4 linked regions of the Elephas maximus indicus genome follow. The protein of the gene in region 1 purifies or fractionates together with the protein of each later gene. This does not show direct contact. Links are inferred from orthologs where the notes say so. Each region holds a gene or a part of one and is shown in the gene's direction. Other genes may lie near its edges. The genes, in order: NCK1, ABI1, GIT2 and WIPF2.

Region 1 (7,130 bases):
TCAAAATTTTTCAGGGATGCAGGGCAGAGAGAAGGAGCATGCTGTCTCATTACAGAGAGAGCAACTAGGAGTATGTTATTTTACAATGCATACGTAGCAAGGCGTATATAAATTTTTGTATGAAAGACTGACTTGATTTGTAAACTCTTACTGAAAGCACAATAAAAAAATTTTTTTTTTCAGGGATTACAGGACACTGGCTTTCAATAGAAATTATCCAAATTGTATCAGAGAAAGAAAAAAAAAGTTAAAAAACAAAAACAGAGCCTGAATAAACCTGTACTAAATATTAAGAGGTCCAGCATAAGTGTAACTGTAGTCCTAGAAAAAGAAAGAGAGAGAATGAGGCGGAAAAATTTTTTGAAGAACTACTGGCCAGTACTTTTCAAATTTGATTAAAAAAAAAAAAAAAAAAGCAACCACAGATCCAGGGAACTCAGTGAGCCCCAAGCAGGATAGGTACAAAGAAAACCATACCTAGAAATATCATAGTTTAACTTCTGATAAACAGAGATAAAGAAAAAAATCCTCAGAGCAGCCAGAGAAAAAGATTTGAGATATTGAGAAACAATGATAAAAATTACAGCTACTTCACATCGGAAATAATGGAAGCCAGAAAACAACAGAATGACAAAGTACTTGCTTTATATGCTGAAAGAAAACCTTTTGTTTCTCGTTGCCTACAGGATAAAGTCTTTAATTTGTCACCCATGGTTTTCCAGGACCTGGCTATTGCTTGCATGCCTAGTCACTCTGCTCCAGCAATAATCTACTACTGTTTAGTGGCTTTTTTTTTTCCCCCCATGCAGGCCTCTCTACCTGGAAAGCCCTTCTCTTTTTTCCCTAGATTAATTGATGGACTAGCCTAACCACACAACTTCCGTCTCCCTCTGGTTTAACATCCCTGTCTATATCTATTGTCTTTATTATATTAATGATAAATACCAGTTTGAATCTCATTTTCCAAAATTGGATTGAGCTCCTTGAAGATAGGGACAGATCTTTAGATCTCTAAAACCTATTGTAGTGCTTACCAAAGTGGACCCTCGATAAATCTTTGTTGAATGAATTCCCATAAAAGTCTAATAATACTCAATCCAGAAATTAGGTTTAGTTACCAGGGTCCACTGACTAATTTGGATACTTTATAGTTGACCCTATGATTAATTAGTTACCTCTTGATTAGAGTTAGGGCTTTTTTGTTCTAAACATTCCTGCCTGACAGTGATATTAAACCAGATTATTCTCTATAGTCACTTCTAAGTATAAATTATAAATACTTTCCTGGGGAAGGCCTTGAGACGTAGAGGCTCATTTTTCCATTTCTTGTCTTCCCAAATCCTTTTGGGAATTAATGAAGTGAGTTGCCTGCATGTTTTTATTCCCAGAAACAGGTTAGCTACCCAAATCCCAAACTTCACCTCCAGTGTGTAGGTCATTTGTCTTGACCTAAATTTTGTTGTTGCCTGATTCTGGCTAGTCCCTGGTCCACTCAGTACTGATCAGCAAGGATGATTTTTACTTTTGGTTTTGAGTTCCACTGTAAAAGAGGAAGAAGCCCCCATGTACATATTTATGTTTAGAAATTGAAGAGACAGAATGTGTGAAAGAAAGTCTCTGGGGCAATTCCCACCCTATGAGAATTTGGACTCCATTCCTTTTAAGTATGCCATACTGGAATTTCACACATAATTTTTCTATCTACCCTTCCATCCTATGCTTTCTTCTTTTATTGATGTTTCCTTATTTTTCCTTTTTGATTCCTCTTTTCCATATGTATCTTGAGTTTTTTTTTTTTTTTGAGAGTTCCTGGGAAGAATGAGTAATGAGGGAGATTAAAGAAGGAACATTAAAAGAAAAAAAACATGTTCACAGGGAACTGAAACCCTTTTGTGAAAAAGCAGTTTTAAGGTCTCTCTTCCTTGCAATTGCTTCTTATATTGCTTGAATAGGTGGTAAAGAGCAGTAGAAGTCGAGAGATCTGGATCAAAATCTTGTGAAGACATTACTGGCCCATTCAAAATACAGATTGCCTTACAAAATAAAATCCAATTTTATGACTTCAGCATAATTTTCTAGAATTATCTTCCCCACTTCAGGTAGTATAAGCCACTTGAAGGCAAGGACTATATTTTACCTTAGTATTTTTTTATTTTTTATTTTTATTCACACCTCTTTCTGCATCACGTGTTAAATATGTAACAAGAATTGAGTTGAGTCTGGTCTGCCAACAGTTCACTGTGTGGTTATGGATAAATCATGTTAAGCTCTGGACAAATCATATCTCCAGCTGCAAAAATGAATATAATATCTCAACCTACAGACTTTGTAAGATGTATCAACCAATAAGAAAGCCATGATATAACAAAATGTGTGAAGAAAACTTTCTGCATCCCACTTTGGTGAGAGGCATCTGGAGTCTTAAATGCTAGCAAGCGGCCATCTAAGATACATCAATTGGTCTCAACCTACTTGGAGCAAAGGAGAATGAAGAACACCAAAAACATGTGGTAAAGATGAGACCAAGAGACAGAAAGGGCCACATAAACCAGAGACTCCATCAACCTGAGAATGGAAGAACTAGATGGTGCCCGGCTACCACCGATGACTGCCCTGGCAGGGCACACAACAGAGAATCCCTGATGGAGCAAGCGAACAGTGGGATGCAGATCTCAAATTCTCATAAAAAGACCAGGCTTAATGGCCTGACTGAGACTAGAGGGACCCTGTCAGGGTCCCCGGACCCTTTGTTAGCCCAAGGTTGGAACCATTCCCAAAGCCAACTCTACAGACAGGGGTTGGACTGGACTATAAGACAGACAATGATACTGGTGAGGTGTGTGTAACTTTTTGTATGAGAGACTGACTTGATTTGTAAACTTTCATCTAAAGCACAGTAAATAAACTAAAAAACAAAAAGAAAGCCAGGATAAAATACGCAAAGTTATTTAGACCCTTAGAATGAATCCAAAATTTACTTGCTTTCTTCATTTTGGATGCTAATAATGGGATGTAGACATAGTGTAGCTGTTGCTGAGTTACATGGTCTTCTTGCCTCAGCCAACTTGAAGCCAGGAAGGGGTCATAGGTGATTTGTGCTTGATCCTGTGATCCTACATATGGCAGGCAAACCACATGCATCCATCAGCGCTCACAGGAATCATTTTGAAGTTGAACGGTTAAATACTGATAATTACTGTGGACTCAGGATTTATAGTCAAGGCCAGGATTAAAGGAGGAGGGAGAAGATGTATTAATGCTTTAATTATGTATTGCCCATCTATCACATGCTAGGCACTGGGTGAAATCGGAACAAACACTGACATGGTTCCTGACCTAATGGAGCTTACAGCTTAGGTAAGGATACGGGCAAACTATTTCAACAGTTCTGATGGGGAAAGTACCTGTGTTCGGAGAAAGGTACCTAGCCCTGCAGGTTTCCCCAAGGAGGGAAAGTAAACTAAGCCACATAGACAGTTAGGAAGGGAAGGCAGGCTATGGAGTTTTGCAGTGCCGGCGTGGGGAAGAGCTAATTTATTAACCACCCAGCAGATGGCTGGGGCAGGGCCGCTAAGAATGGCAGCTCACTCAGGTCACTGCCTTCATAGCACGGCTACTGCAGCCGAGACTGGAAGCAGCCTGCGCACCAGGGCACTTGGAAGGCCCCAAGACCCGGTCTATGGCTCAAACGTAAGCATGTGGCTTACATTTTTCTCCCAGGTCCTCGTTTCCTGGCCTTTTTGTTTTTTTGTCGCTTTGGTCTAAACTCGGGAAGCCGTCATATTTGCTGTGGGGTCGTACCTGCGGCGCTGAGGAGGGAGACTTAAAGTCGTCATTCGAGAAGTTCGGCGTGCAGAAAAAGAGTTTGAAAATAGGATTCGTAACGTCTGCTCTTCCCCGCCTCTCAGCCTCAGCTCACTCCGCTGCCGGGACAGCGCCTGATTGATAGGGGAGTCTGCCCAATCCCAGCGCCGCACCGATTGCTACCGAGGCAGGGGAGGGAGGGAAGGGGACTGAGCCTATCAGATTGGGCCGAGAGGGCCTTCTTTCGCCCGCGCACAACGCCCATCGCCTCGGGGCCAGTCAGCGCCCCGCCTCGCCCGCCCGCCGGCCGCCCGCCCGCCGGCCGCGCGCCCCGCCCCGCCCCTCTCCGAGACCGACCCGCGGAGGAGCGCAGGCCTCGTGCCGTAACGGCCATCGCGGCGGCCGCCGTGTCGTCCAGCTGCGATCGTCAGGTGAGCCGGAGCCGCCCGGGCCGGCAGAGGAAAGGTGAGGCAGCCTTGCCGGCAGGTGGACACGTACACAGTTTCATTTCCCCTGTCGGTCCACGTAGCTGGTTACTCACTGCGTCGCTTCCTCTTCCCCAGTGAAGTTACCTCCGGGGGCGCCGTCTGCCGGCCCGGAGCGGGCAGAGCCGGAGGGGGCGGGGAGGCAGCTAGGCCCGGCCGGGGCGTTTGCACCCGACTCCGCGCCACCGTCGGGCCCCGCGGCCCCGCGGCCTCGCTGCCCGCCTCCGGGGCGTCGCGCCGGGGTGAGCGCCTGCGAGGCTTTGAGGTCGGTGTGCGGCGCGCTCCCTTCCGTGTCTTATTTTTCTTCTGAAAAAATCTTGTTGCCCGTTGTGTGCGTAACCGACGCGGGGAAGACAGGGACACGGCGGAGAAGGGAAGGACAGGGAGCCGTGCCCAGGGCTGAGGGTGGACATCTTCTGGACGCGCCCTCTGCAACCCCCTCCCCCACCCCCCCGGTCGTCGTCTTTCTCGGGAAACGTGGATAAAAAAAAAATCGCATGAACCTGTTTTAGGTTTCGTATGCGATTGCTTGGGCTTTAAGCTTTTGACTTCAGTTGTAATATATCCGCTAAAAAAATTATCTTGATAGCTTGGTTGTGTAGCCTTTTATTTGTTTCCATAAAAGTTGAATTCGGCGTTAGAAGCTCTGGAAGCGGGGTTTTGTTTGGGAGCTGAGAACCATAACATAGGCGCCCAAAGTCGAGCTGACGTACTGAAGTCACCTTAATTCATTCTACCCGTTATTTTAGGTGAGAAGCCATAGGAGTTAGGAAGGAAATAATTGAGCTTGAGAATTTTCTAACCCCATGATTGCGGAGGTTGGGGGTGGGGCACAAAAGACGCTTACTGTCTGGTCTAAACGCGTGTTGCAAGAGATACTCTCTTTTAAACGTTATGTTGATAGATTATGAAAAACCCATCGTTAACGATTTATCAGACATCTGAAAAGCACTGTGCTTAAAATCACAACCTTCAGTGAGGTGAAATAAATGGGGAAATAATCCAAGAAGAATTTTTTTTCCGTCTTGTAATTGTAAATAGTATGCAGTTTTAAACTAGGAGTGTTTCACAAATTGATAGTAGCGCAATAAATAGTTCAATTCCTTCTTTTTTTTTAAATACTGTGTTTTAGGTGAAATTTTGCGGAACAAATTAGGTTCCCCTTTAACAATTTTTATACAAATTGTTCCCTGCCATTGGTTATAGTTTTTACAATGTGTCAGCATCCTAAGTATTCCATTGTTTGTTCTGTTTCCTTTGATCTAGCTTCCCTTCCTCTACTTGCCTACTCATCTTTGCTTTTGGTTAAAAGTTGACCGTTTGGTCTCATATAGTTAATTGTTTAAGGGAGCACATTACTCATGTGTCATACTGTTTATTTTATAAGCCAACCTGTTATTTGGCTGAAAGGTGACCTGCAGAAAAAGCTTCAGTTCCAAGTTCAAAGGGTTTTAGAGACCCATAGTTGTGTCTTCGATGGCTACTAAAAAGCTTTTAAGATCCCAGATACTAACGTCATCTCTGTGAACTATGTTACGCCAGTTGACTAAATTGTCCCCCAAGAGTATGGCCCTAAGCCCTTTGACGCCTTTGTAACCGTGCCCCCATGTGGTTTGTTTTTAGAAAAACCAAAAGAACTCCATTGCCGTCAGTTGATGCCGACTCAAAGTGACCCTATAGGACAGAGTAGAACAGCCCAATAGGGTTTCCAAGGAGTGGCTGATAGATTTGAACTGTCATCCTTTTGGTTAGCAGCCTGAGCTCTTAACCACTGTGCCACCAGGGCTCCTGGTTTGTTTCATATGTGGATATATATGTGGCTATATATTTTTTATATATGCAGCACACACAAACGTGTATATACCTATGCCTACAGATACACCTGTACCTGCACGTACATTTACTTGAGTATGCTTTCCTAAACACATAATGCATCTATAGCTGCTGTCATGGATTGAATTATGTCCCCCCAAAAATGTGTGTATCAGTTTGGCTAGGCCTTGATTCCTGGTGTTGTGTGATTTTCCCGTATGATGTAAATCCTGCCTCTGTGATGTTAATGAGGAAGGATGGGCAGCAGTTGTGTTAGTGAGGCAGGACTCAATCTGAAGATTGGATTGTATCTTGAGGCAATCTCTTGAGATATAAAAGAAAGAAGGGAGCAGAGAGACAGGGGGACCTTATACCACCAAGAAAGCAGTGCCGGGAGAAGAGCACATCTTTTAGACCTGGGGTCCCTGCGCTGAGAAGCACCTTCTCAGGGGAAGATTGATGAGAAGGCCGACAGAGAGAGAAAATGTCCTGGAGCTGACACTCTGAATTTGGACTTTTAGCCTACTTTACAGTGAGAAAATAAACTCTTTGTTAAAGCCATCCACTTGTGTTATTTCTGTTACAACACACTAGATGACTAAAACAGCTACCTACGTAACCACACGTGTATTTTTTTGCTTTGTTCACTGTTGTTGCAAAATTGTATATAACGTTTACTAAAATTGTCCCTTTTGCTCATGTACTTCTTATTTATTTACCTTGGTCAAGTTGGGTAGACTTCACCCATGTTTGGGATTGTCTTTCCTCTCACCAAAAGTAGCAAGTGTCTATTGTCTAGAAAGTGATTCCCTTTCCCTCTCCCTCCCATCCCTGTTAACCATTAAAGAGCTTTGCTTTTTGTGTGTTTATCTGTTCTTGACTTTTTATAATAGCGAGACCATATAATATTTGTCTTTTTTTGTGACTGTCTTATTTCATTTAGCATAATGTCCTCCAGATGCATCCACATTGTGTTTCACGGACTCATTATTCTTTATGGTTGCATAGTATTCCATTGTATGTATGTAG
Region 2 (7,254 bases), on another chromosome or scaffold:
TAGTATATTCAATATTCTTTGCCAACATTATAATTCAAAGGCATCAGTTCATCTTCCGTCTTCCTTATTCATTGTCCAGTTTTTGCATGCATATAAGGTCATTGAAAATACTATGGCTAGGCTTAGTTACACCTTAGTTGTCTTAGTTATCTAGTGTTGGTATAACTGAAATACCACAAGTGGATGGCTTTAGCAAAGAGTAATTTATTCTCTCACAGTCTAGTAGGTTACAAGTCCAAATTCAGGGTGTCAGCTCCAGGGGAAGGTTTGTCTCTTTTTTGGCTCTGGAGGAAGGTCCTTGTCCTCAATCATCCCATGGTTGAGGAGCTTCTCAGGCACAGGGATCCCGGGTCCAAAGGACATGATCTGCTCCTGGTGCTGCTTTCTTGGTAGTATAAAGTCCCCAGCTCTCTGATGCTTCCCTTTCCTTTTATCTCTTGAGAGATAAAAGGTGGTGCAGGCCACACCCCAGGGGAACTCTCTTTACCTTGGATCAGGGAGGTGACTGAGTAAAGGTGGTGTTACAATCCCACCCTAATCCTCTCAACCTAAGGTTATAATCACAAACCGGAGGACAACCACACAATACTGGGAATCATGGCCTAACCAAGTTGATACACACATTTTTTGGGGGACATAATTCAATCCATGACATTCGTTCTCGAAGTGACATTTTTGCTTTTTAACACTTTAAAGAAGTCTTTTGCAGCAGATTTGCCCAATGCAATACATCATTTGATTTCTTGACTGCTGCTTACTATTTCTATTTTCAGTGCCCTTAGCTAAATCTCTAAGCTTAAGTTTCCTTACCTGGTAAAGAAATAAAATAATATTTACCTTGTTTATCTCTCAGAGTTGTTGTGAGCATTAAACAAGTCTGATAGTACTTTGAGTAATAGTAATTCAGTATCATCTCCTTAATCATTCCCCCAATGTTGTTGAAATGTATAAATATATGGATATATGCAGGCTCACGTAGAGACCAAGATCAAGAATATAACACATTTCCACTACTTGAATTAAATCCTGTTGAATGTAATTGGATTAATGATAAAACTTGAAGCAAGACCGTTGTGCCTATTCCAGACAATTAGTAAAAGTAACCCATTCATTGATTGATGGACCTTAGAATCCTTGACAGGGACTATGGTGTTTTTCTCAGTTTAATATAATGGTAGTGGCTAGGGGCAGTTATTTCTTTTATGTAGCAGACTTAAGTTCCTCCTTGGGAAGGTTGAATATGTTATGGCCCCTAGTATAAGTAATAAGGAGCCCTGGCTGTGCAATGGTTAAGCACTCAGCAGCTAACTGAAAGGTTCATGATTTGAACCTGCCCAACGTCTCCGTGGGAGAAAGACCTGGCGATTTGCACCCCTAAAGATTACAGCCAAGAAAACTCTGTGGGGCAGTTCTCTGTCACACAGGGTCACCATGAGTTGGAATCGATTCAATGGCACCCAACATCAACAAGTAGAGGTAATATTCAATAAATACTTTTGACGGATTGATCTTTTTATTTGATTGTGTGGTGTTACCATTTCTATCCTTGTGATTCTAAATGGCTACGTGGAGAGCTATGAAAATGGATTTTCAAACAATCTTTAAGTTAACTTCCTTTTTGGCCTTTGGACAACACTTTTCATAACCCATTATACCAGAAGCATTTCATATTTTCAGTGAAACTAAAAGGTTAAAATATAGGGCTTTTTGAAACTCTTCCAAAGCAGCTGATAATCAGGAAAAAAAAAAAATGATTTTACACAACCTACAGAAACAAAAACAGTAGGGTGAGACATGCAAAGGAGTCAGAGAAAAGAAATTAGGACGGGACAGCATTAAAAACCATGCATGTTTTGTTTTTGAGGTTCTATAATTTTGACATTCGGTTGGATCACCTTTCTTGGGAATAGGCATAAATATGGATCTCTTCCAGTCAGTTGGCCAGGAAGCTGCCTTCCATATTTCTTGGCACAGATGAGTGAGCACCTCCAGAGCTAGAACCGTTTGTTGAAACATCTCAGTTGATATTCCCTCAATTCCTGGAGCCTTGTTTTTCGCCGATGCCTTCAGAGCAGCTTGGACTTCTTCCTTCAGTATCATTGGTTCCTGATCATATGCCACCTCTTGAAGTAGTTGAACATCAACTAATTCTTTTTGGTATAATGACTCTGTGTATTCCTTCCATCTTCTTTTGATCCTTCCTGCATTGTTTAATATTTTCCCCATAGAATCCTTCAGTATTGCAACTCGAGGCTTGAATTTTTCCTTCAGTTCTTTCAGCTTGAGAAACGCCGAGTGTGTTCTCTCCTTTTGGTTTTCCATCTCCAGCTCTTTGCACATGTCATCATAATACTTTACTTTGTCTTCTCAAGACTTGCTTTGAAATCTTCTGTTCAGTTCTTTTACTTCATCGATTCTTCCTTTTGCTTTAGCTGGTCGACGTTCGAGAGCAAGTTTCAGAATCTCCTCTGACATCCATCTTGGTCTTTTCTTTCTTTCCTGTCTTTTCAGTGACCTCTTGCTTTCTTCATGTATGTCCTTGATGTCATTCCACAACTTGTCTGGTCTTCAGTCACTAGTGTTCAGTTCATCAAATCTATTCTTGAGATGGTCTCTAAATTCAGGTGGGATGTACATAATGTCATATTTTGGCTCTCGTGGACTTGCTCTGATTTTCTTCAGTTTCAGCTTGAACTTGCATATGAGCAGTTGATAATCTGTTCCACAGTTGGCCCCTGGCCTTGTTCTGACTGATGATATTGAGCTTTTCCATCATCTCTTTCCACAGATGTAGTCAATTTGATTCCTGTGTACTCCATCTGGTGAGGTCCATGTGTATAGTCGCTGTTTATGTTGGTGAAAGAAGGTATATGCAATGAAGAATTTGTTGGTCTTGCAAAATTCTATTATTCAATCTCCGGCATTGTTTCTGTCACTAAGGCCATATTTTCCAACTACTGATCCTTCTTCTTTGTTTCCAACTTTCGTATTCCAATCGCCAGTAATAATCAATGCATCTTGATTGCATGTTCAATCAATTTCAGACTGTAGCAGCTGATAAAAATCTTTTGTTTCTTCATCTTTGACCCTAGTGGTTGGTGCGTAAATTTGAATAATAGTCGCATTAACTGGTCTTCCTTGTAGGCGTATGGATATTATCCTATCACTGACAGCGCTGTGCTTCAGGATCTTGAAACGTTTCTTTTGACAATGAATGCAACACCATTCCTCGTCAAGCTGTCATTCCCAGCATAGTAGAGTATATGATTGTCCGATTCAAAATGGCCAATACCAGTCCATTTCAACTCACTAATGCCTAGGATATTGATGTTTAGCCATTCCATTTCTGTTTTAAAGATTTCCAATTTTCCACGTCTGTCCGCTTGTCCTACTGTGGGGACTTGAGTGTTCCTGTGATGCTGGAAGCTATGCCACCGGTATTCAGGTACCAGCAGGGTCACCCATGGAGGACAGGTTTCAGCTGAGCTTCCACACTAAGACTAGGAAGAAAGACCCGGCAGTCTACTTCTGAAAAGCATTAGCCAGTGAAAACCTTAGGAATAGCAGCTTTTTACTAATGATAAGACGTACAAAAAAAAAAAAAGGTGGTGATAAGTGCTGTTCATTGTAACTCAAATACATCTTAAGTCGAGGATTACCTATAAATATTTGGAGTTTTCCATATTCTATCCATTTTTAAGGAGCCCTGGTGGTGCAGTATCTAAGCGTTAAGGCTGCAGGCGAAAAGATCATAGTGTGAATCCACCAACAGCTCCTTGGAAACCCTATAGGGCAGTTCTACTCTGTCCTATAGGGTCGCTATGAGATGGAATCTACTTGATGGTAACGGGTTAGGTTTTGGTTTTATCCCTTTTTAATACTAACCGGAATCCATGGCTCTTATTTATCCACATTCGGTTGCTAAAGCTCTGTAGCTCCACAGCCTTGGGGGAGGTGGGACGGTTTTCTTCTCCAGCATCACCCTATTGCGCCATCTACCGGAGCTGTCAGGAAATTCCAGACCTAAAATCACCGCCTCTGGTCAAGATTCCCTAGTTACACTCCTCCCCGACGCCTGCGCTTCAGATGAGAAGTCTAGCCTATCAGAGACTACAATTCCCAGAAGACCGTGCAAAAAAAAAAAAAAATCCCTCTCTCTAGGAGTTAGGAACGATCGCGAGAGAACGAGGTTAAGGCGGCTGCGCGAAGTGGGTAGAAGGGGGTGGAGAGAGCGAGGAGGAAGAGGAGGAGGTACCGTCCCACAATACCAGGCGGGAGGGCGGTAGGCGGTTTGTATCCGGGCTGTGAGGTGCTCGGAGCCTCCGCGGACCTCGCTGCCGCTGTCTCTTTAACGCGAGAGGAAGCGATGCGGAGGGGTGGAAAATGGCAGAGCTGCAGATGTTACTAGAGGAGGAGATCCCGTCTGGCAAGAGGGCGCTGATAGAGAGTTACCAGAACCTGACCCGGGTGGCGGACTACTGTGAGAACAACTACATACAGGTGAGGAGCGCGGGCGGGCGGGCAGACGCTGCCCGGGCCGAGGACGCGCCGCCGGCCGCCGGAGTGACCAGCCCCCTGGGCGGGGTGGGGAACTGCCTAACCTCAGCCTCTGCCTCAGCTCCAACCCCAACCCCAAGCCCAGCCGCCAGAGAGCAAGTGGCAGGGTTGAGTGAGTCGGGCTGTGATACAGGAAGTGGCTCTGGTGGTTGAAACCGATAGAAGGGGAGAGAGAAAATGGGCGAGGGACCCGGGAGCCCGCCGCCACCGCAGCCGGGCGGCCCCCTGACGCCCGCCTCCCCGCAGGCTCGACCCCACGAGTCTCGCTGCCCTTCGGCAGCCCTCCCTTCTCCGTGCTTCTGTCCCGGGGACCCAGCTGCTGCCCCGCTGCCTCTCCGCCGGGGAGGGGGGGTCTGGAACCGGGAGAAGGGAGAGGAAAGGGCAGGGAAGAGGCTAAGGGAGAAGCAGCAGAAGGGACAGGAAAAGCGGGGTGTGCTTCGGGGAGGGTGGGGTGGGGGCAGTTATGTCAGTTCAACCCAGAGGGTGTGTCGTTTACTTATTTATTTTTTAAAAAAATTTGTCATGAGTCACATTACACAGACCTCCCTAAGGAGAGGAGAAGCGGGTGTGGAGTAAGGGAGGGCCTTTGAGAGAACTTAATCTTAAAATTCCTTTAATTGACGGTTTGTAAATCTGCCTGCCTGTCCGTTTTCAAGTCGGGTTTTTCGGTCTCATCATTTTCACTTCCGCTCCACTGCAATGTAGTCTAGAGGTTGTTAAGGAGTATCGTTATTATAAAACGTAAATTATTCTTAACTACTTGGAAAAATATCTTACTCTCTCTTCCGCCTAAAGTTCTTGAACCCTTGGCTTCACAAGTAACTTAGAATGGTGTAACCGCCGTTTTCTGAAGTTTCCCTGTTTCCAACCTATGTGCACGTGTAGAATATGAATCCAAATAGATTACCGAACCTTTGAACCAGAACGTAAAATAGCTGTTATTGCAAATTTATTGGAAAATTCTTGGGCCCTTATCTGTGATATAAGCTTGTTTTTATTTTAATGCTTGAAAGTGAATTATATGTGTAGTAGTTTGCTTTGCGGTTCATTAACTGTGTAAACCAACAGTTTGCTGTAGAAGCAAATGAAGTAGCAGACTTTTGTATCAGTATAATGACACCCAAAAATTGCTTGTTATTGGTAAGGCATGACAGAACGTGCTTTGAAAGGTTAGAGGTATTGCAATTCAGAACTGAAGTATTTTTAGAAATGCCTTCGATGTGATTATCATTTTTAAGAACCAATGACTTCTGTATTGGCAAATGCATTTCCTCTTACTTTATAGGCAGAGGTGCTGTTTTCAAAATATTTTAATTATTTCTAAGTTTTTTTATTAGTAACATTGTCTCTTCAGTAGCATTACTAGGACTTTATCTTCACAAATTTTTTCAAGCATTTACTTAGGAATTTTACTGATAAGTAAAGTTGTTGAATGCCTGCCACATCTACTGTATTACTACTTGTTTTTTCAAACTGTATTTAGCGTTTAAAAAAATCACTTTAAACTCTAGTAGAAATGTGGATATAGTTTACAAATAGAAAAGTGGTTTTGTAGTTAGTCAGTATTAAAAATATGCAATTTTTATTCAACCCAGCATGAAAAGCTTTAAAATTGAGGCGAACCTTATTTGCTGAAGATCTTGAAGATTTTGAAACTCAGACAGCTTAGAAAGTTAAATTGCCCCCATCCCAGAAAAGCCATTTCTTAACAGAAGTCAGTAGATAAGTACTTCATAAAGGGGAGATTCCTTTTTGTTTTGCATGTTGGGAAATCTGACAAGTATATGGTGTGGTAACTGCTACACGTTGGCAACAGTTGGTAACTGCAAACATGTTTTAACCTGTCTGTTGGCTATTTCTTTTTCAGATGGTTGTATGCTGTAAAGGTGTTTCTTAATTTTCTTTTTTCTCTCTGACCCCTTTTCCTTCTCCCTCATACCACCGTCGTGTAATTTTGAAGTACTTTTAAACTTCATTGGTAATTTCCCTAATTAAGATGTCATGTTATTTCTCATAGTCTTTCACTTTCTAAAATATTAGTACCATGGTATCGAGTCATCGCCAGTGGCCTCAAGGTTTTTTTTTTTTGGTGGTCCTAAACTTGACTTCAGGTCCCTGGGGGGTGCATACAGATTGCATTTGACCACTAACCAAAAGGTTGGCAGTTCAAACCCATCCAGTAGTGCTGTGGAAGAAAGGCCTGGTGACCTTGCATTTACACTCAAGAAAACCCTGTGAAACTCAGTTGTAACATATGGGGGTTGCCATGAGTCGGAATCAACTAGATGAGAGTGGGTTTGTTTTTTAAACTTGCCTCCAGTGAGGTATTCTGATCTCGTCCTTACCTGCTGTTGACTCAGCCTCCCACTCATGGTGACCCCACGCACAACAGAATGAATGCGGTTCAGGCCTGTGTCATCCCCATGATTGGTTATGGGTGGGACCGTTGCGATTCATAGGGTTTCCATTGACTGATTTTTAGAAGTATGTCACCTGACCTTTCTTCTTGGTGGTCCCTGTCGGTCTGGAGGCTCTGATGAAACCTGTCCAGCATCATACCAGCGTGCAGTCCACCACTGACAGATGGATGATAGCTGGGCATGAGGTGCTGTGGCCAGAATCAGACCCAGGTCTCGCTCATGGAATGGGGGAATTCTACCACTGAACTGGGGGTGACGGGTGGGGGAGATGAAATTC
Region 3 (7,144 bases), on another chromosome or scaffold:
GGTCACACAGAGCAAGTTAGAACCCGAACTCCAAACCTTAACAAAGACCTTCCTTACAGCAAGGCAACAAGGGTGCATGAGGTGAGGTGAGGGGTGTGTGTGTTGTCTTTCAGAGAGGACAGTAGAGTCTAAAGTGTAAGTCTTGGAGAGGGGCAGTAGCGCCTAATGGTAAAGACGGCGCTCTCTGGGGCCAGCCAGCCTGAGTTAAAATCTCGACTTGGCAAATTTATTAGTTGGGCGACCTTGCACAAGGCCCATAACCTCTGAGAGCCTCAGTTTCCTTCTCTGTCAAATGGAATAATAATACCCACCTCCTAGGGATGTTGGAAAGGTTAGAAGAAATAATGTATATAAAGCCCTTGACACAGAGCTTGGCACCAGTAAGCACTCAATACACGTCCTGTTGTTACTATTATTGCCGTCCCACGATTGCAGAGTTGAAGGGGTCCAAGGGACCCCGAGGGCAGGGGCTTGGAAATGGGCTCAGGGAGGTTAGCGAGCCTCGACTCCCCCTAACCAGGGGCGGACTCCCGCCCCGCCCCGCCCCGCCCCGCCCCTCACCTGGTCCCGCAGCTCCTTCTCCAGCTGCCGGTAGTCGTTCTTCCAGACCAGGAGATGCAGGGGGAAGTGGCCGCTGGCGTCGCGGGCCGAGGACATGGCGAGGAGGCCGCAGCCGGGCCCTCGCCACCCGCTCGCCAGAAGCCTCAGCCCCGGCGGGGTCTCCGGCGCCCGCCAGCGGCCGTCGAGCGAGAGGACAAGCCGAGCGAGCAGGCGAGGGACACGGCCGGGTGGCCTAGCGGGCCGACTGCGTGGTGCGCGGGAGGTCGGGGGTCGCGGGCCGGGTCGGGGACCGGGTCGGCCGAGCCCACCCCGCGCCCCGCGACGCTCCCGCCCGCGCTGACAGCTCCCGAACCGACTTCTGCGGACCGAACTGTCCCAAACAGGGAAGTGCGGGGAGCGAACCACCGCACGCGGGGGCGGGGAAGGGCGAGGCAAAGCGGTCGATCCGGAGTTCGCCCAACTTCACCAATCTCCAATTCCACACCAGGATCATAGTGTGATATCTAAAACAGTGTTAAGAGTACCTCTTTCGTTTCAGAGTATTGACGTGGAAAACTTGGTCTACCCATCACCAACCTCTTTCCCCCTGCCTTATGTATCGCAGATGGTTCGGTCCACAACCGGGCCTCTTCCATTGGCCCTGCGGTCAGGGGGCGACAACAGGCCTGGGCTAAACCATTCCGGCTACCGACTTCCTTGCAGCCTTTTTGGACCAGGGCAGATGCTTCCATGATTGGTCAGAATCCATTTTGGAAGTGGGCAAAAGCAAACAATTTTAGAGGAGGAATTATAAACCCTGGAGGAGTGGCGTTAAATATTTGCATAATAAGGAGATAGTTATATCACAGAGTTTTCTCAACCTCCGCACATTTTGGACCGGATAACTTGTTGTGGGGGCTGTCGGGTGCTTTGTAGGAGGTTGAACAGCATCCTTGGCCTCTACGCACTGAATGCCAGTCAAAAAAAAAAAAAAAACCAAACCCACTGTCGTCCAGTCAATTCCGACTCATATCGACCCTCCAAAAAATGTCTCCAGATAAAGTCAGATGTCCCCTGGGGGACAAAAATGGTCTCCAGTTGAGAGCCACTGTTCTATCTGAACTCTGAACTGGGTTATGATTCAAAGCTACCTATGATAATGGTTTATCCCACATGTGTCATTTATTTTTGAAGCTAGCCATTTGGATTTTGGATTATGACTGAAAAGACTGATATATAATACCCAGACTTGACCACAGTCTGCAAATATGAAGTTCATCCTTTGAGTTTCAACTTCAGATACTGTACCTCTTTGCCTCAATGAAGAATCAAGTCAGTTTATAGCCACCATTGTGCGCTTCCTGCTGCCACTTCTGCTCAGCTGTCTACAACTCGACCACATAGCTGGGCAAAGTTATTCAATTCATCCTGAAAGCATCTCCTGGGCCTTCTCTGCTTGTGTACAGCCAGCTTCTCAGATGCCTGCAACAACAGCTGTTCAAGAATCCTAGCCTAATCCATTCTCCACACGTGTTGAGCCCAGATTTGTGAGTTGGGGAACCAAAACAGCACGCAGGAGCATCAGGTTAGTACTCATAGACTGTAAGTGCTGCGTGCGTGGGAACTACGTGGCTATTCCCACACCACACATTTATCAAGCCGGAGAGATGGACCAAGGACCAGTGCTTCTAAGGCCTCTTCATTCTTTCAGAACCCTTGTGCAACTTAATCTTTCTCTCTATTGCCCCATGCTTCCTGAACATCCCTCCTGTCACATTAGTCTGAAAACTTCACATCTGTCTCGTTTACGGGAGTACCTAAAGCCAAAACAGTTCCTGACCCATAATACCAAAACCAAACCCGTTGCCATCCAGTTGATTTCAACTCATAGTGACCCTATAGGATGGAGTAGAACTGCCCCATACATAGGGTTTCCAAAGAGCACCTGGTAGATTCGAACTACTGACCTTTTGGTTAGCAGTGGTAACTCTCAACCACTATGCCACCAGGGTTTCCTGACCCATAATAACCAAAACCAAACCCAGTGCCATCGAGTCGATTCCGACTCATAGCGACCCTTTAGGACAGGGTAGAACTGCCCCATAGAGTTTCCAAGGAGCACCTGGCAGATTCGAACTGGCGACCCTTTGGTTAGCAGCCGTAGCACTTAACCACTACGCCACCAGGGTTTCCCCCTAACCCATAATTGGCATCCAATATTTGCTAAATGGAGATTATAATTCTGTTTACATGTAACACATACAATAAATATTCATTAGTGGGGAGGTGGCCTTCGGCATTAGGATCACATTTGTTCTTCACACTGATTAACCTCACTGTGTTTATCTCACACTGTTCTATAAATTGGAAATCCTGGTGGCGTAGTGGTTGAGAGCTACGGCTGCTTAATCATAAAGGCCAGCAGTCTGAATCCACCAAGTGCCCCTTGGAAACCCTATGGGGCAGTTCTACTCTGTCTACAGCGTCGCTATGCGTCGAAATAGGCTTGAGGGCAGCGGGTTTCGTTTTTGGTTAGCCTTTAAATTACTCTGGGTTATATATTCTTACTCTCAAATTTCAAGTATAGGAAGAAAAGTCGTGATTTGAAAATAATAGTGATACCAATAATAACAGTAAATCAGAGTAGAGCTGCCCCATAGGGTTTCCAAGGCTGTAAATCTTTAAGGAAGCAGGCTGTCCTGTCTCCCGGTGAGCAGCTGATGGTTTCCGACCGCGGACCTTTTTGGTCAGCAGCTTGGCGCTTTAACCACTGCCCACCAGAGCTCCTGGGAAGCTCCATTGGATAGTGCACGGCACACAGCAGACACTCAGTATTTGTTGAATGAATGAATGAACTAACTTGGCCAAAGTTGCACTAAGTGACTTGACCACTGATTGCCTCAGGAAAGTTGTGGCTGCAGAGCTCTCTATGGTCACTAGGTTTTACAGCTTCCCCTGGAATTAATCAGTACTGGGAGGAGGAGTATCTCGTGTAGGAAAAAAAAAAAACAACTCATTCATTGCCCTCGTGTGGATCCAGACTCATAGCGACCCTGTAGCATCTCAGAGACCACTAAAATACCCACGGCCGTGGAGTCGATTTAGACTCACATTGACCCCATACGGTTTCTAAAGCTATAAATCTTCTAGGGAAGCGGACTGCAGACTGCCACATTTTTCTCGCGAAGCCGCTGGTGGTTTCCAACACCCGACCTTTCGGTTAGCAGTTTTATCGCTTTAGCCACTGCGCCCCCAAGGCTCTTTCCGCAACCCAGAGGCGGGGGAAAAAAAAAAAACAAACCCGTTGCCATAGAGTCGATTTCCACTCATAGCGACCCTATAGAGCAGAGTAGGACTGCCCCATAGAGATTCCACGGAACGCCTGGTGGAGTTGAACTGCCAGCCTTTTGGGTAGCAGCCGTAGCTCCCAACCACTACACCACCAGGGTTCCCGCGACTCAAATAGAAGCACCCAAATTCAAGATTTAAAAGCAGGGCAGAGGCTGGGGAAACAGACACCTGCCCTCATTCAAGATGGCGACAAAACAGTGTGCCCTTTCCGGTCACGTGACCTGTCCGTCGGCGAAGGCCACCTCCCCGCGCGTGCGTGTTGCGCCGGGCTCCGAGGCGCTGAGGGGAGAGGCGCTGCCGCCAGCGCTGCCGCGGGGACCCGTTAGAGCGGAAGCACCGCCGCCGCCTTCGCTGTCCGGGGGCCCCTAGTTCCCCGCGGGTGGGAGGCGAGAGCCATGTCGAAGCGGCTCCGGAGCAGCGAGGTGTGCGCTGACTGCAGCGGGCCGGGTGAGTCTCACCGCTGGGGCCCGCTCTCTTCGGCTCTCCTGGCCCGGACCCCTGCCCCGAGGCAGCCCACTGAGGTCGGGCGAGTCCCGACGGCCGAGCTGCGCGCCCCGCGCCCCGCGCCCCGCGGCTGGGGTCGCGGCGAGGGAGAGCCCGAGGCGGCAGCCTTGGGGCGGGGCCCGTCCCGGGCCTGTCAGAGCCGGGCGGGGAGGGGGCCGCCGCCCTCCGGTCTTTCCTTCTCCCCCTTCTCCTCCGTCCCAGCCGGCCGGGGAGGCGGCGAGGTCCAGGGCTGCTCCCCCAACAGGAAGGGGCTTGGGCAATCTACAGGAAGACCAATTACAGAAGTAGAATGCGAGCATCCTCCGGGCTGCGGCCCCCAGAGGCTGCAGGTGTCACCCCCACACACACCAGCCATCCGGACCCCCGCCCCGCAGAGGGCCTTGCCCGAGATGGGCGACACTCGCGGTTTCCCTCACCGAGACCCTCCGGAGGGCAGATTGCTTCCAGGCTTCTGGCATCTCGTCTCCCACTCCACGGGGAAGAACCTGCAGGACGTCGCGGTCTTGCAGAAACAACCAGCACTTAGAAGGCAGAGCATGTCTCAAGTTTTTAGATCTGAATCGCCTGGGTTCAGACTAGGTCTGGGTGACCTTGGGTTTGTGACTTCATGTGACCAAGCCTTGATTTCCTCATTTTTCCAATGGATATAGTCGGGAGTATTTGGCTCGGTGATTAGATTTAATGAGCCTTCTCATCATCTCAAGTTTTTTTTTTTTTTCCTTCTTTTTTGTATTGTGTTTAGTACAGATAACTCTTGACGTCCTTTAAAGTTAGATTTGCATTTCTAAATCATGCATGAATTACAACTTACCAAAAACTAACAGGCGCAAAATCACGGGCAGTATTCACATTTGAGCATTCAGCAATATGGGCATAAATCATTTCTGCCATGTGCAAGTTTCAGGTACAGAGTTCAGCTCCATCTTAGCATTTGGAGCTGAGCTGACAGGTCTCTGTGGCTAGATTGTGTTTTGTTTTCAGTGCTTCGGTTTATCTGCTTTGAGTTTGAAGTAACTCAAAAGTAAGATGGCTTCCTTGGCACAATATCGTCCAGTAAACAACCTTAATGAAATCATTGAATGCCAGTGTTGTGGCAACTGTTCTGAACTTCATCTTGTCATTTGGAGGTTGAGGCTGAGTCCTGTGATAACTTGCAGTCAACTGGACGGCAACTAACAAGAACAACATGATATCTCAAACCTGAAGTGGTTTTTCTCATAGTCTGTATAGAGCCCTGGTGGCGTAGTGGTTGAGTGCTACGGCTGCTAACCAAAGGGTCAGCAGTTCGAATCCCCCAGGCGCTCCTTGGAAACTCTGTGGGGCAGTTCTACTCTGTCCTATAGGGTTGCTATGAGTGGGAATCTACTTGACTGCACTGGGTTTGATTTTTGGTTTATAGAGCCGTCAGGGTTGCCAGTTTCCTTTGAAAATAGGGAAAGGGGTGGAGGAGTTTAAAAAAGAGGTGTTTTATAAACCAGCCAGGGTGGTTATACGAAATTAATCCTAGTCTCTAAAAATGTTTCCACTTCCTTCTTTTTCTTGCCTGTTTTCAGTTGAACTTTCTGCGTCATGTTTGATTCACATGTGTCTAGCTTCAAACTTCCTCTTAGAATGAGTATTCTTTACTTCTCAGTGGATGGCTTAGGGCAAAGGAAAGTTACTTCTTCGTTGTCACCCTAAATACTACCTTGCATTTCTGCATCATTTTATGCATTTCAGAACATTTTCTCTTTCATCATATCATTTTAGTTGTCTTATGTACCTATCTACAGAGACTTGAGTCACTTCCTTCCTGTTTTGAGTATAATTAGGCTACCTTGAAATGTTCCGTGAACTTGTGCAGCTAGGAATTTGTTCTGCCTTTTCTGCAAAACCCTAGTGAAAGGGTTACCTTTAGGGTTAGAGACTCCTTTGTGAATCTGATGAATGCTAAGGCCCTCTCCCCAAAAAATGCACATGTATGTACTTTCACACACAATTTCATGCGCATTTTCTCAGTGGGACCACAGACACTCCTGAAGCTCATTTGTGGTGTCCGTGGAGCCCAGGTTAAGAAACCCCGACACAAAACATCCACATAAACAGGAAGGGTTTTACCCAACCTTATTTGTACAAACTCGGTTTGATTTTACTCGGCTGTAACATTCTAGTTACTCTATCCATGGAATTCTGATATGTGATGTTAAAATGGTTAATTGAGAACCTTGCCTAATTGTTAAATCCTTGCTGTCTTAGTCCTGTTCCATTTCCCCTGAAAGAATACTGTGAATTCTCTGGATGCTAGGTGAAAATCAAAGCTATGCTTCAAAAAAAAAAAAAAAAAATGCTTCAAGGCAGTCTTTTTTTTCCCTTCGTGCAGAAAAAAACCCGTCGCTGTGTAGCATTTTAGGGATCCTTTATCTTGATGTTTACAGTGTTTGCTTTTTAGAATGGTATAGTAGTACTGAGACAGTTATACTTCATTGAATTATTTTGTTTCATGGCAAATATTTAACCATGATTATTTCTTCTTAGTTTGCTTGTTTAATGAGCGCAGTTTATTTTAACTAAATCACACTGAGTTCGATTACCTGAAAAATCCGCTGAAATTTTCACTATGATAATATAGTATTTACTTGAAACATTTGATGTTTTAAGTTTTTCCAATCAAAAAATTTTTTTTCAGGATCACAAATTTCAGCGGGCTGTTGAAATATCTGAATGGTGCTTAGAAAATTATTTATAAAAGACGTAACAGTTAACATTACTG
Region 4 (7,574 bases), on another chromosome or scaffold:
ATGTGCTCTTCAGCAATTTTTCCCTCTTCAGCATTATACTTGTGAGATCCAGCCAGGTCAATACGTACAACTCTAGTTTGTTTGGTTTTGCTTTTCTGTATTTCCCTTCATTCTTCAACCCAGTGCAATCTTGCTTCTGCCTTCATGGCTTCCTGAAACTGTTCTTGTCAAGGTCGCCAATGACTCCCATGTTACCAAATCTAAGGGACACTTATCTTACTGTTGTTCTCGCTAGCGTTTGATATTTCTGACCATTTTTCCTTCCTCACTCATCACTGCTTTCAGGACACTATGACCCCGGGGTTTCCCTCTGCCCTCTCCTTCTCAGTCTCCCTTGCTAGCCTCCTCCCTCAGCCTGGTCCTTGCATGTGGCATTCATTGGGCTTGACCCTAAACCTTCTTCACGTTTCTTTATAAATCTTGCCTTTGATTTTATCCTTATACTTCTGTTTTGGAACCTATTGCTGTATAAGTAACTTTAAACTCAGTAACTTAAAACAACAACCATTTCATAATTTCTCAAGATTCTCCGAGTTGACTGGGACTGAGCTGGACAGTTTTGCTGATCTCACTTGGGGTCTCTTATGTGGCCGCAGGTAAGAGGAGGGGAAGTTGAAGTGTTCAGGATGGCTCCCTCATATGTCTGGTGGTCTGGTGGGAACAGCAGAAACGCTGGGACAGGTGGCTCTCTCTCTCTCCATGTAGTCTCAAAGCCTCTCCCTCCAGGTGGTCTCTGCAGCAGAGTAGCCAATTTCTTACATGGGAGCCTACCCGAACCCACTGCCGTCACATCAATTCTGGCTCATAGCAACCCTACAGGACAGAGTAGGACTGCCCCTTGGGGTTTCCAAGGCTGTCATCTTTACGGAAGCAGACTGCCACATTTTTCCTTCCAAGAGTGGCTGGTGGATTTGAACTGCTGACCTTTGTTTAGCAGTTGAATGCTTAACCACTGCGCCACCAGGGCTCCTCATGGGAGCCTGTTGTTGTTGTTGTTAGGTGCCGTCAAGTCGGTTCTGACTCATAGCGACCCCATGCACAACAGAACGAAACACTGCCCAGTCCTGAGCCATCCTTACAATCGTTGTTATGCTTGAGCTCATTGTTGCAGCCACTGTGTCAATCCATGGGAGCCTAGGGGTCCCAAAAACACAAATGGAAGGTTCCAGGTTTTCTTAAGGCCTAGGTCTGGACCTGGTACAGCATCATTTCTGTTTCTTTCCATAGGTTAAATGGAGTCACAGGCCAGCCAAATTAATGAAGACCAGGAGCCCTGGTTTGTTAGGGGCCATCTTTGGAGACTACCATAGGTTGTGATTTCCAAATCTCTAGACTCAAACATACCATGGAATACTGGACCTCACTTCTTGGATGTCCCACCAGGCTCCTCAGGCTCCTTAACCAGTCCAGCCCCTCCTTTTCTTCTTTGACACTCTCCAGCTAAGCGTTAGCCTCATCTCCACACTAGAGTTTAAGATAGAAACTTAGGGATAATCTTTGGCTTCTCCTTCTTTTCAGTCCCCACGTTCCACCCCTTAAATATGTCTAGAATTACTTCTCTCCATCCCCACTGCTGACACCCTAATAATGATCACAGCTAATATTAGTGAGTACTTTCCATGTGTGTAAACACTTGTGATGCGTTCCATTTAATCTTATCTAAATTTTGCAGATGGGGATCTTGAGGCCAGTGGAAGTTGAATAACTTGCTCAAGGTCTCACCGTTTTCAGCAGCACAGAGAACTGAGACTCCAGGTAGCCCTGCCTCTGAAGCCTTTGTGTTCCGCCAGTGACCAGCTGCCACTCAGTTCAGGCACCTGTCATCTCTCACCTGGACTGCTACACCAGCTTTCCAACTGGTTTCATCTTTCCAACCTTGTCTCATCTAAACTGTCTCCCAGGCTGCAATCAGAGAGATCTTTCTAGAATGCAAAGTGAGTTGTAGCATTTCTCTGCTTAAGCCTTTCAACAATTTCTTCTCACAGACAAGATAAACTCTAAGCTTTTCAATAGACAATAAAGTCCTTTACAATTTGCCATTGTCAACTTGATAGTGTGGCAAGGGACAGTGGTTCTCCACAGTGGCACTTTGGAAATTTGTGGAGCTCTTTTTGTTTATTACAATGGTTAGGATGTGCTACTTGCATTTGGTGGGCAAGGGTCAAAGATGCTAGAGAACGCAATGCAAGGGATGGTTCCATGCAACCAAGAATTATCCTGGGTTCCACAAGACTTTTGAATGTCCTGCTCAATATTCTATGTGAAAAAGTCTATTTATAATTACCTTAGCCTAGACTCTATCTCCATTAACCCTACACCCAAGGGAGGAGGGGGCTGTTGAAGAGATTCTATGGTGTTTCCTTTTTCCATGAGACACTGACAAAAGCTCAGGTTCACCTAGTTAGGCAAGTGCCCTCAGAGCAAAAGCCTGCTTCAGTGTTCCACTTACTCTCTGCCTTCAATTACTTTGTTTTGCCTTGAAAATTGCTTACCTTTTTAGCAGCTTGTCAATGTATTTAAGATTTTTTAAATGTCTTATCCAGGATTCTTAGTTGTTTTTAGGGGGAAGCTCTTCCAAGTATCTGGCTTGTCATATAACCAAAAAAGGAAACTACAAACACAAAATATTTTGTGCATGTAATTTGCATATAACCTGTCTTTTCCAGGAATGTGACCACTTTGTAAATTGTTTTGTATTGTTTAGAACTTTACCAAGAGTTGTTCAGCATTTTGGAAAATCACAACACCAATGCCAACAATGCCCACCACAACACTGTTGGATCGATCTGCATTTGTACCTGTTGCAGTCTTCATAATTCTAAGCATGACTGCAAGCATCTGACTATCTCCCTATATCTTCTATGGTGGGCAGGGAATGCCCTCTGAGGAAGGGACATTTGAGTGAGGCCTCAAAAAATGAGGATGGGGCAAAGAATAGCCAGTATATAGGTCCTGAGGTAGGAACCGCTTGGTACATTGCAGTGTTAGAAAGCAGGTGTGCATAGTGTGTAGTGAGTGAGGAGGGTACAGGGAGGAGAGGAGGCTGAAGAGCTAGGAGGCTCTGGTAAGGAGTTTAGATCTACCATCCCTCTGGCCTAATCACAACACCTTTAGGAATGTAAGACTAAAAAACTACATACCTGAAAATCTTTACCTTTGCCCCCACTGATTCCTATGCCTGCAATGTGCTCCCTGTCTTCTCTGATTAGTAATAAAATTCTACTCATCCTTTAAGGTCAAGTTCAAAACCATTTATGAAATCTTATCCCATTCTTTAGCAAGAATTAATCACTCCATTGTCTGATGCCCCACAGCATGTATGTCCCCATGGCACTAATCACATGCTGACTTATATCTCTGCTAGCTGTTTACATGTCAGTCTGCCTACCACACAGTGAGTTCCTGGAGGCAGAGGCTCTGTCTTAGTCACCCCAGTAGGCATCTCTTGGTGCCTAGGACAGTGTCTGACCCACAGCAGATACTCAATGAATGCAATGAAGGTTGTGACATTTACTTGACTAAGTGGGTAGTTCTGTTGTGCACAGGCTCGCTATGAGTCAGAACTGACTCAACGGCACCTAACAACAACAACAACAACAACTAGTGGGTAGTGGCAGAACACAAGGAAAACAAAAATAATAACTGACGGTTTATCACTTGTGCTTCCCTATTCATTATCTGATTGGAGGCTTCCAACAATACTATGAGGGAGACGGGGTAGGCACTATTACCTCCGTGTTACAGTTAGGGTAGCTAAAGCCCAAGGCCACACAGCTAGCAAGCAGTGGGACCTAAATCCCAATCTTGTCCTCTTACTTCGGATTTGGTGCTAGGAAGGATGATGGAGAGACCCAAAGGAGAGCATTTTGAGGATATAAGACAATGAGGTTGGTTGCACTGGGTGGTCTAGGGGGAGATTCTCAGTCAACAGCATCCCTGCCAGGGAGGGCGTAGCACTTCTCCCCTGACCCATGCAACATCACCCCCCATTCCTGAACGCCGCGGAACCCTTGGGTTAGGTGGTTAAGATGACGTAAACGATGACCTGTTAGCAGGACCTGCCCCTGTTGCCATGACAACCGGAGTTTAACTATTGGGCCCTTACAAGGTTGGCTGAGACAGGTTCTTCGTTACCTCGGGATTAGGGAGGAGGTGTGGAGGAGTGCGGTGGAATAAAGACGTATAAAATGTATAATCATGAAAGACTCCAGCTCAGTGGTTCTCCACCTTTGCAACACGTTACAATTACCTGCAGAATTTTAAATGTTCCAATGCCTAACCCACAGCCCAGAACAACAAATCAGAATCTCCGGGGGTGGAACTAGGCATCAGTGTTTGGTTAGTTTTCCAGGTGATGGTGATTCCAATTGCAGCTAAAGCTGGAAATCCTCCTTTCAGTTAGCAAACGGAATTTCTGTGACCTTCTCAAGATGGGGGCCGATCAGACCGCTTCCGCCTTTACGTGAGCCGACAGGGGCGGGCCTTCCAGAAGCGCATGCGTGTAGCCTCTCTTCGCTCCCTGCTCCCCTCCTCCTTTTTTCCCCCGCCTCCATTTTGTTCGCAGACGCTGGGGACAGTGGGAGCAGATCCATTTCCGGGTTGGAAAAGGGGCGGCGGCGGCTAGAAAGGGAGCTTGCCGGGGGGCGAGCGGGACGGGACCAAGCCGGAGCGGAGGTGGCGGAGGATTCGCTCTCGGAGCAACTGCGGCCAGGTTAGGAAGAGGCCGGGGCGGCTGGGTCCGTCGCTGCGGTGACCTGCGGACCTAAGGGCTAGGAAGAGCTGGGGAGTGGGGATTGGGGCGGGGCTTGAGGAGAGAGGGGCGCGTTGGAGGAGGGGCCTGAAGGGGATAGGGGCCTGGGGGCGGGGCCTGAGGGAAGGGGCCTGGGGCTGGGTCTGAAGAACCCGGAGGAGAGGGGGCGTGTGGAATCTAAGTAGGGAGGAGTGGTCCGGAATTGGTGTGGGGCGAGCGCAGACTGAAAATGAAGAGGAAGGCTGCTGAGAGACAGGAAATAAGGGATCCTGAAGGGTTGGGTAAGGCGAGTAAGACGGGAACTCAGGGTGCGGAACGAGGTAACCGTGCGCTAAAAGGGAGACGGGGAGGGAGGACCTGTTGGGAACAGGTAATTAGCAGGATGCTCTGGGTGAGGAGGCCAGTTGTGACTTTTCGGGGGTTGAGCCGGGTGAAAACCTGTGGTTGGGAGGATGACTCGGGAAACTGCTTACGCTAGAGGGACTCTTAAGAGCGTTCGTTGAGAAAGAATCAGAATTGAGTTAAAGGTTGGATGGAGAGCTGTTGAGATGCGCACGGGAGCATCTAAAATTAAGGGTTCATGTTGGAGTGAGGGGAAGTGACAAGTGAAGTGAGGGAAGATGGAAAATCTGAAAGTGTTGAATGTGGGCAGTGTGTGTGGTTGGGCTGCTGATCAGGAAGAAACATTCTTAAAGAATAACATTGGGGTAAGGACCCGGAAGAAGCTGATATGTGCAGGAATTCATAATTTTAAGGGGATTTGAATGATCTTACTGCTTTGGCCTCCCCCAGGGCCCATCCCCCTCTTTTCTTGCTGTAATTTTTGTCTTACAGTTTTGGTTTCTGAACGACTTACTGAATGTTTTTGGAGACTTTTTTTTTTTTTTTTTTTAACTCCTTTACAAATCAGAAGAGGATCCCAGGGAATAAGGACTGTCCTAGCCTACCTCCTGATTTACTGAGTAACTCTTTGGCAAATCATTAAGTGCCTCGTTTTTTCTCCCCCTTTGAAATATAGGTCTCTTCCCTCCCTGCCTCTAAAAGATTCTGTTAACCAAGTGAGAATCTTTAAAGTGGTTGCAAAAAAAAGTGATTTCCAAACACAAAGTTGAGATACTGATATTTAGGAGACATATCCTCAGTTTCTTCCTCAGCATACGCTGCATTTTTATGTGCCTGGGAAGAGTTGGTTTTTAAATTCTCCTTTCTTAATGTTAACTTTTATCAGTCAAAATTTTATATTATTGTGTTGCATTGTGTTGGCTGCCATCAAAATGGAGATAGGGAGTTTAGAGTTGGCATGAATGAGGTCGGTTGGTGGGGACTGTGGGAGAATGCAGTGTTTTATTTTCTAGTTGCCACAGTATTTTACTCCTGACGAACACTGAATTTCTTCATGAGTCTATGAGAGATCAAGGATAAATAGTATTTTAGACAGTTGAGCTTTTTGCTTTGGTCCAATCACTTTGGCATAGCTGCCTGTTGGTGGGACCAGTGGGGTTGTTACTCCTTTGAAATCCTGACTGTTCTAGTTTTATTTCTTTGGGTATAAAGCTCTAAAAACTTTGCCTATAGGTGAACTTGTTTAGCTTAGAAGATGTGTTCCTGGAAGTGTTGGCATTTCTGAAGTTTGATGTGGATTTGCTTAAGAGGGGGCAGATTCTAGTTTTGCCTCCCTTGATACAGAGTAGTGTTTATTCTAGTTGCTACTGATTAGTTATGTGATGTCAGGGCAAAGGTGAAATGCAGGGGAGGGTGGAAGGTATTGTGAACAATAGGGTTCTCAGATTTTATTAATGGCGTTGAAGAATGGAAGAGAGAAGTCCTTGTTCCTAATGAGGAGAAAATTGTCACTTGTTCTTTCTTGACTCTTTGGGCTGTCTGATGATGAGAGTGACCTGGTGTACTTGAGTCTGTTTTCCTGTTGATCTAAAGTAATTCTGAAATTCATGGACTGCTGGTTCAGGCTGCTTCAGCAAACCATAGTCTTTATACCAACCCCAGGATGAGCTGTAGACAATAAGTATACATATTTATTTGGAGTAAAAATCTGCTAGATATTATACTGTCATTTCACCCTACAGTGTATCTTTTCAATTTGTAATTAAGAGGGCTTTGAGATAAGTTATGGAGGCTCAGAGCTCTGGGCAAGCTTTTGGTATAGCCTGCTTGTTTAACATAATGTTTTTCTATTTTTCCTACCGTCTCACGTTTTTCCATTGAACCACTTCTAAGTGGAAAATAGCAAATTACACATTTTTTCCCCACTTTTTTAGTCTCTGGTGGACATCTTGTCTGTGTCACAGTTTGACACCACCAAATGAAAGAATCCTTGACTGCTCCAAATGGAGAGCGTGACAGAAGCTGAGCTGAGTTTCCTGGGCCAGGGAATGGACTCTTGTCAAAGCAAAGAATAGTTGCGGAGACACACAACTGGGCCCTTGAAGCTGTGACTAACATTTTGGCAACATGCATCCCTTTGCCAAATAACTTCTTTTCTTCTTGAGTGTGACTGTTAATCTTCTTGAAGTAGGCTGTTGTTGCTACTATGCTTCACACAACTCCCGAGCAGAAGTTGGCAGGGTTGCAGTTAACTGTCTCTTGAGGGATGTTCCCCTGATTAGAGTAGGTGGGGCGTTCTGTGTCAAAATGAGGTGTTCTGCAAGGAAATAGAGGCAGTACTCTTTACTGAATGTTCTTGCAATTCTTTATAGTTCTTCTAAATTCAGAGTTTGTTTCTTAATCATCTGGTAATCAGTGTCTTTGACTGCACAGTTTGAATGTCCAGGGCATTGAGGAAGAGAGACTTAGTATTTGCGTCAAT

What was found.
Region 2: the proteins of NCK1 (region 1) and ABI1 purify together in Homo sapiens (co-immunoprecipitation; 4 studies listed by BioGRID and IntAct, with this or other methods). This does not show direct contact. The link is inferred for Elephas maximus indicus from reciprocal best matches to the Homo sapiens genes NCK1 and ABI1.
Region 3: the proteins of NCK1 (region 1) and GIT2 purify together in Homo sapiens (co-immunoprecipitation; 3 studies listed by BioGRID and IntAct, with this or other methods). This does not show direct contact. The link is inferred for Elephas maximus indicus from reciprocal best matches to the Homo sapiens genes NCK1 and GIT2.
Region 4: the proteins of NCK1 (region 1) and WIPF2 purify together in Homo sapiens (co-immunoprecipitation; 3 studies listed by BioGRID and IntAct, with this or other methods). This does not show direct contact. The link is inferred for Elephas maximus indicus from reciprocal best matches to the Homo sapiens genes NCK1 and WIPF2.

The regions. Positions count from the first base shown.
Region 1 is NC_064844.1:41,558,331-41,565,460, reverse strand, and holds the start of NCK1 (cytoplasmic protein NCK1), read left to right. Parts: upstream 1-4,113; 5' UTR 4,114-4,235; exon of another isoform or gene 4,236-4,554; intron 4,555-7,130. UniProt on the Homo sapiens protein: Adapter protein which associates with tyrosine-phosphorylated growth factor receptors, such as KDR and PDGFRB, or their cellular substrates. Maintains low levels of EIF2S1 phosphorylation by promoting its dephosphorylation by PP1.
Region 2 is NC_064822.1:28,454,790-28,462,043, forward strand, and holds the start of ABI1 (abl interactor 1), read left to right. Parts: upstream 1-4,241; 5' UTR 4,242-4,383; coding exon 4,384-4,500; intron 4,501-7,254. UniProt on the Homo sapiens protein: May act in negative regulation of cell growth and transformation by interacting with nonreceptor tyrosine kinases ABL1 and/or ABL2. May play a role in regulation of EGF-induced Erk pathway activation. Involved in cytoskeletal reorganization and EGFR signaling.
Region 3 is NC_064840.1:20,517,507-20,524,650, reverse strand, and holds the start of GIT2 (ARF GTPase-activating protein GIT2), read left to right. Parts: upstream 1-4,140; 5' UTR 4,141-4,286; coding exon 4,287-4,338; intron 4,339-7,144. Other genes in the region: ANKRD13A (ankyrin repeat domain-containing protein 13A), read right to left, coding at 562-657. UniProt on the Homo sapiens protein: GTPase-activating protein for ADP ribosylation factor family members, including ARF1.
Region 4 is NC_064837.1:47,410,897-47,418,470, forward strand, and holds the start of WIPF2 (WAS/WASL-interacting protein family member 2), read left to right. Parts: upstream 1-4,557; 5' UTR 4,558-4,711; intron 4,712-4,933; exon of another isoform or gene 4,934-5,036; intron 5,037-7,574. UniProt on the Homo sapiens protein: Plays an active role in the formation of cell surface protrusions downstream of activated PDGFB receptors. Plays an important role in actin-microspike formation through cooperation with WASL.